Drosophila melanogaster: one gene and its partner. The protein of the gene in region 1 interacts with the protein of each later gene in a pairwise test. Each region holds a gene or a part of one and is shown on either strand. Other genes may lie near its edges.

Region 1 (3,818 bases):
ACACGGTGCTCAATCACTTTCATCGACTGGATGTCCTTGTCAATAATGCTGGCCGATCCCAGCGAGCCAGTTGGACCGAAGTCGAGATCGAGGTGGACCGGGAGCTGTTCGAACTGGATGTCTTTGCGGTGGTCCACCTCAGCCGCCTGGTGGTGCGCTATTTCGTGGAGCAGAACGGCGGTAGAGGACACATCGCTGCCACCTCCAGCATCGCCGGCTTCAGTCCAGTGCCATTTTCACCCACCTACTGTGCCGCCAAGCACGCCCTTAACGCCTACTTGCTCTCCCTGAAAGTGGAGATGCGCAAGCTGGATGTGTCGCTCTTCGCACCGGGACCCATAGCCACCGATTTCCTGCAGGAGGCCTTCACTGGCTCGCAGGGCGGAAAGGTGGGTCTGAGTACGGCCAATCAGAAACGGATGACGGCCCAGAGATGTGGCGATCTGTTCGCCGTTGCCTTGGCCAATAAGATGGATCTCACCTGGTGCGGCCTCTTTCCCGTCAACCTCTTGGCCTACTGCGCCCGGAATCCCACGCTGAGCAAGATTCTGGCTCAATTGATGACCGAGAAGACGCTGAACAAGATTCGCGAGGGCAAACTGTGAGAACAACCCCGGTGTGCCTCGCCCCTTCCCTATTCCTGCTCCAAACGGCTCTCAGTCATCTTTTATACTGTTGTATAATTCTTAACTATATACTAAAATATATAAATATGTGCACAAGATTAAGTTGAGTGTGCGTTTCAATCGCGATAATCTTCACAGGCACAGTGGGATTCTACAGTTCCTCCCATTCAATTGGTGAGCAATATTGTGGTAAGCTAATAATCAATTAAGATTTATGAATTCTAAAATATTCTAGTTAACTTAAGTCATTAACCAGTAATTTAGTAATCTATCATCTGGTTCAGATGCATAGATTTTTTTGCCATTATAGAAGAGGGCATATTACACTCAGGTGGCTAGTTAAAGCAGCTCCTCCCACATTATAATGATTTGTCAAGACTGCAGATTACCTTGCATTATCTTATATTTATCTACTTGATCAACCATTCTAATCTAATCTTTTCCTAGCGCTGCCTTGACGTGCGCTGGGATCTTGACTCGTTTTCGTTTCGCCTTGGTTATTGCGGTCTGCTCAACTCCTTTGAGCTGTTGCTTCGCCTTGTCCTTTTTGCTCTTCTTGCAGGACAATGGATTGGGGTTCTTGGGCCCTTTGTGCTTCTTGGGTTTGACTGCAGTTTCAGCTGGCTTCAGTCCCTGCTTCTCCTTCATGTAGTCGATTTTCTCGACCTGTTTGCCCAGCATTAGGTTTTTGGCCCGTCGTTGCACCCACTTCTTGGAGGCTTTAGATGGTGCTTCCAAGACGGGAGTGGCTTTGTGCAGATAGAGCAGACAACGTCCGGGAATCTTGCGAAGACTCTCCTGCAGCAGACGATCTTGCGAGGCAACCACATAGCGATTGTCTTTGGTCTGAAAGGCAAGTAATCATTTTATGGCTATAGCATACTTGAAATCAAGTAACTCTCAATTTACCATCGATTTGATGCATTCGGAAGCGGGGACTGGTTTTCCTTCGTGTCCGCATTTGTGGACATGGAATCGCTTGACGATGGATGTGGCTCCAGTGAGAGGAGCACCCAGGGATTCCGACTCCAGAATAACACACTGGGTGGTCAGTAGCTTAACGCCGCACTGGAAGTACTTTTTAATCTGCTCATCTATGCCAATCTTTTGCTAAAAGTAAAAATTAACTATGGATATCAACAAGTGCTAGAGATGATATAAGCAATAACCCACCTGAAGGGCTGCTTGGCAAAAGGTGGCATCAATTAGCACTTGGTAGGGTTCCCGGTAGTCGAAATTGCTGGCAAAAAACACCAGAGTTTTGTGCGACTTCTTAAAACGAGATATTTTCATGATATTTGCGGGTGGGTAGTCACCAAGTTTTATCAAGTAAAAACAAAAACAGCGTGCAAGTACAGTGTTGAACAGCGTTCAAGCTCAGCTGTTCTCGCCTAACAGACTGTGTGCGCACAGCAGCTCTGTTGTAATTTATAGCCTGCTGTTATTTGAATTCGAAATGTTTTACATTTGGCGCCAAACCGGAAGCAACAGAGAATGCATTTTCAACCCTCTTCAAGCAATTTCCCTCCCTTTCTCTTTTCCGCAGCTATTAAGCGCTTTGTTTTCATTTCCCTTCGCGTAGTCAGTTGGTTTTCCATTGCAGTTGCAGGCGCAGCAAACAGCGCATAAATAAAATTCAAATTTTAATGACAGAGCCTTCAATTTCAAAGTGCCAATTTATACAGTAAGTTTAAAAGTTAAAGTGAAAAGTGTTTAGCAACTAAAGAGTCAGTTAATGAAATGTTTAGATAAAAACTGTGTGCGAGGACTTTTGAGTCCTGTGAAACGCAGTAATAGTTTGAGATGCCAGGTCGTTAAACTGCGCATATATCACATTTGTGCCGCTTACAATTTTCATACTTCGGTTCTTCAGTTCTCTGCTTTGTTTACGGCGTACATCAAGTTTTCCGACCTCCGGTTACCTCTAACCCTCTATTGCGTTTCTATATCCTCCCCCTGGCCGCTCACCCGTGATGGGTTTTCCTCTTTGGTCATTTTCTTGTTTTTTCTTAATCTGCTCAATTGACATACAATTGATGGATTTCTTGCTAATCATGCTGATTGGATTTAACCAAGGTCTTCTTGCTCAACTATTCTATCTTTTTTATAGTACATATAGAAAAATAAACCAAATATCAAATATTATTTAATTATATTTATATTTAATCATCATAATTAAGTTTTGCCATAACCTCTAGATACATAGTTCGATTTGCGAATGGATACAATGTTCGCGCAGTTTTTTTCCGTGAACGATAAAGAATATTGGTCAAGTTTGCCTATAATGCCATGTCGATAAAGCCACCAGTTGCGGCAGCTGTGTGATCCAGTATTGTTTTTCCTCGCTTTTCCAGCGTTAATCTCCCAAGGTTGGGCCATTGACAGCTGTGCTCGGTTGAAGGTTGGATCGTGGGTGCAACTACCTCTGGGATCTGGGATCTGGGGTCTTGGGTTCCTCGGATGGATCATCTTCACTTTCCACGTCTCCACTTTGCGGCTGGTTCTTGCAGTTTATTCAACTTTCCGGCTACGGAGCACAATGAAATGACCAAAAGCACAGTGGTATTCATATGCTAATCGATTCGGCACTGATGTCCCCTCCAGAACACACCTTTCGCTATTGGAAAAATTGGATTTATTACGAAGTACTGTCATGTGCCGCATGCCTCGCATTCTGATTTTTCGATACTCATATTTTTCGTCGGTTTCTTTCGCTGTTTCCGGCTGGTTTTTCGGCGGCTCAGTTCCCATATTATTCAACTGGTTTTGAATGGAAAGAAAGTGACGCATAGTAATCATCGTTCGAGGGGAGGTAACTTTGGGTGGACTGATGGTTGTGGAAAGAACCAGTAATTCGCATTGTGTTAGTATTCATAGTAACTATGAGGTTCTGTGTAATTCGAGTTGTTGGGGAAGCACAGACAGAAATTGATGGCTCGTGATTAGCTTTCTGTCCAATTAATCTATTTCTGGAATATAATTTATTTTTATCAATACTGACTAATCTCTGAAGTATCTGTCTCTCTGATGAGAGGAGAATCAAATGGCAAAATATATTAATATTGCGTACAAGACTGTAGCTTCATAATAGTTTATAACACCGGATCCCCCAAAACCCACGATTTTGACCATTATCGTTTTATGAACCACGGCTTGTTTAATTCTGATGCCATAAGCGTTCCGGGCACCCAT
Region 2 (3,783 bases), on another chromosome or scaffold:
CACCACAGGTTTTGATTTAACAGCTGGAAAAACTACTTCCACGGGCAGATTGAGGGAATCTGCCTGCCGCTTAATAAACTCCACACAAGCAGCTAAAAATGAATAGTGCTAATGCATTTAAGGAAATATTAAAATAAGGACCTTACTATAATCAATATTAGGGTGTACAGATGGAATTCGCAAATACTCCCGGAATATTCGAATTTCCTCGTTCTTTTCCCATTTTTCGGCACTCATTTTTAATATGAATCGTTAGGATGGTAAAGTAGAAATAAGCAGCTAAAGGCATCCGCTGTCTTTATATGCATTTGGATCGTGCCACAAAAGTGATTATGCGTATATGATAAGAAAATCGTTATCAATGGGCGGCAGATCTCTTCCAATTCTGACTATATTGCAAGTCACTTTGGATGGCAGTCGAGGTAGTGACAAGAAGCAGTATAGTTGACAATCTGCTACAGAATTCCCATCAGAATCATTTATATCTTGATCAAGGAGGCGAAAGTCAAAGAATCAACAAACAATATTGAGATAAACACGGAATTTCAAATTAAACTCTTGAATCTTTTTTTTTTTTTGATAAGATTACTCTCTAAAATGAAGATACGAGGCACACTTTAGTAATTAGCCCATCTTTATTATAGCCACGATCCATGTAGTTCAAACATTTTGTTTAGACTTCAGCCAGATTGCGAATAATCTTCTTGTACACATCAATGCCATTAAGATACACATCAGCCTGCAGAAACTCGTCGTGGTCATGGATCCGCATGGTGGTGTTTATAATGGGTGAGAATCCAATGGCTGGGGTACCCTTCTCCCGAATGAAACGACTGTCAGTGGCGCCAGGACAAACGATGGGATGAACCTTCAATCCACTAAAACACAGGAGGATTTCGATTAGCCATTATAGTTAATTTTTAGTCGGTACTTACAGCTCATCGATTGCGGCTTTGACAGCTAGCCAGTAGGGATTGGAATTGTCCAGCTTGGTGGGTCCTATATAAGGCTCCTTCTGGAAGAAATCAATTTCAATGCCACCACCCGCCTCCTCGCACCAATCGCGAATCTGTTTCTCAAAGGCAACCACATTCACAGTAATGGCAATCCGTATGTCGAAGACCGCCTCGAAAAGTGGCGGAACCACATTGCTCTGGACTCCGCCACTTAACTGGGTGAGATTCACGGTGGTCACATCGCCCTTGCTGAGGCTGGAATCTCTCGCAAGGTTCTCCACTTGCGAGGTGCGGAATTCAGTCAGTTTGTTGACCAGATAGTTCAGTTTTACTCCTGCCGTATTGGGTAGCAAAAGGGAACCATGACCAGAAGTTCCACTGACTTTCAGCTTGAGTCCTGCATAAAGCGAAACGGTAATGTCCCCAATCCATCATCATCATCCTTATGGAACTTACCCCATCGCAAACGTTCGGCGTAGAACAAATGATGAACGTCACTTTCACTAGTGGCGCCTTCGTCCAGGCTGAATCCCGCGTTCATTTTCTTGTAGTAATCCGTCTTAACAAACTCCGCCATGCCCAGATGACCACCAGTCTCTTCGTCGGGAACAAAGGTCACATACAAATTCCTTTTTGGTTTGAAGCCACTAGCTTTCAGCAGGCGAATCGCTCCTAGATACTGAGTGCCCACCGATTTCATGTCCTGAGTACCCCGTGCAAAGATCCTACCCTCTTCATCAATATCGGCGGAGAAGGGTTCATGGGTCCACTTCTCTCGAAAAACTGGCACCACATCCGTGTGAGAGTTGAGAACAATGGACGATAGTTCGGGTTGACTTCCTTCCCACTTGATGATCACAACGGGCTTCGTTTGAACAGCAGGATAAACCACTTCAACAGGAAGATTTAGGGAGCTAGCCTGACGTTTCAGGAACTCCACACAGGCAGCTAGACATTGAAAGACATTATAACGCAAACTTTAAAGAATTAAAATTAAGTCCTCACTATAGTCAACATCTGGATGCACCGTTGGTATACGCAAGTATTCCCGGAAAATCTTAATTTCCTCATTGTTTTCCCACTTTTCCGAGCTCATTTCGACACTCTTCTGTCATCAGCAACTGAGCTGCAACAAAGATTGTCTGTGCTTTTATAATCACACTGATTGCTTTCATGTTTATGGTCAAGGAATTTAAATGCTTATCAAAAGTGTATGTGGTTGCGATAGTAACGCCCTTATCTGCAAAACCCACACGTCTATTATCCGAATAAGTAACTTTTCTAAGCGGCAAATAGTTCATTATGTATTATCTATGCAACTTACACAGAAATGAGTTCATTGCGTATTATCTATGCAACCTCAACCTTTGAAACCTCAAGTTCTTGGTAAGTTGTCATGTATTTTTCAATATTTTCCATCATATCGTAAAATTATGACAAATTCAATTAAAATGACGAAGCTTTGATTGATGACCTTCGATTTGAAAAAATCAAGTGATTATTTTGGATTTAATGGGCTTCCCAGTCTTCCAACTTGCTATCTATGATGATACAGCAAAATGTAGATACATCCATTATCTACTTGCTGTCGCAAGGATAGCAAGTTGTATTCTTCAGATCTTAAGTTGATTAAGGTATTCGTTGAGATAAGATAAAAGGCCAGGAAGTTTTGTACTAACTTATAACAAAATCATCAATCTTTATTTTGATAAGGTTTTCATGTATTATTTCGATTTAGTTTTTAGACATTCGCTAGGTTGCCCAAAATTTTCTTGTATATTTGAATGCCCTTCAAATAAGTTTCGGCGCCCAAGAACTCATCGTGATCATGGATGCGCATGGTGGTATTTTTGATGGGTGAGAATCCCAAGGCTGGAATGCCCTGAGCTCGAATGTTCCTGCTGTCGGTGGCACCGGGGCAGACAATGGGGTAGATCTTAAGGCCACTATAAACATACAAATCGTATTAGGAACACGCATTGTTGAGCATTCGATTCAGACTTACAGTTCATCGGTGGCAGCCTTGAAAGCCAGCCAGAATGGATTGGAGTCGTCGATCTTTGTGGGTGCCACGTAGGGTTCCTTCTCGTCGAAGGAGATCTCGATGCCGCCACCTGCCTCCTCGCACCAATCGTGGATCTGTTTCTCAAAGGCAACCACATCCAGGGTGATGGACAGACGCATGTCGAAGACAGCCTCGAAATGAGGAGGCACCACATTGCTCTGGACTCCACCGCTCAGCTGGGTGAGATTGATAGTTGTCACATCACCGATGTTGATTGTCTGATCATTGGCCAGCCTCTGAACCTGCGATTCGCGGAACTCCGTCAGCTTGTTGAGCACATAGTTCAGTTTCACGCCGGCAGTGCTGGGCAGCAACATGGAGCCGTGTCCAGAGGTTCCACTGAAATTCAGCTTGAGACCTGCCAAAGAGGGGATATAGTTTAGATTCTAGTCCTAGATGTGTCTCAAGGATTACTCACCCCATCGCATACGTTCGGCATAAAAGACATAGAACAGATCTATTTCACTGGTGCCGCCCTCGTCCAGACTGAAACCAACATTCATGTTGCTGTAGTATTCCGTTTTGACGAACTCCTGCATGCCCAGCTCGCCGCCGATCTCCTCATCGGGCACAAAGGTCACGAAGAAATTGCGCTTGGGCTGGACACCACTTGCCTTAAGCAGGCGGATGGCACCCAGATATCCTGTGCCCACCGACTTCATGTCCTGAGTACCGCGCGCAAAGATCCTGCCCTCCTCATCGATATCGGCAGCGAAGGGATCGTGGGTCCACTTGTCACGGAACACCGGCACCACATCCATG

What was found. Proteins that work in one complex are often made in the same cells at the same time.
Region 2: the proteins of CG17652 (region 1) and CG6733 interact in a two-hybrid assay, tested with the Drosophila melanogaster proteins (one large-scale study listed by BioGRID).

Annotation. Positions count from the first base shown.
Region 1 is NT_033779.5:1,730,345-1,734,162, forward strand, and holds CG17652 (uncharacterized protein), read right to left. Parts: upstream 2,013-3,818; 5' UTR 1,920-2,012; coding exon 1,800-1,919; intron 1,737-1,799; coding exon 1,536-1,736; intron 1,473-1,535; coding exon 1,059-1,472; 3' UTR 689-1,058; downstream 1-688. Other genes in the region: CG31937 (uncharacterized protein), read left to right, coding at 1-605.
Region 2 is NT_033777.3:23,096,028-23,099,810, reverse strand, and holds CG6733 (uncharacterized protein), read right to left. Parts: upstream 2,084-3,783; 5' UTR 2,053-2,083; coding exon 1,962-2,052; intron 1,905-1,961; coding exon 1,413-1,904; intron 1,354-1,412; coding exon 936-1,353; intron 879-935; coding exon 674-878; 3' UTR 620-673; downstream 1-619. Other genes in the region: CG6738 (uncharacterized protein), read right to left, coding at 1-92, 147-237; CG17109 (uncharacterized protein), read right to left, coding at 2,698-2,902, 2,962-3,379, 3,440-3,783.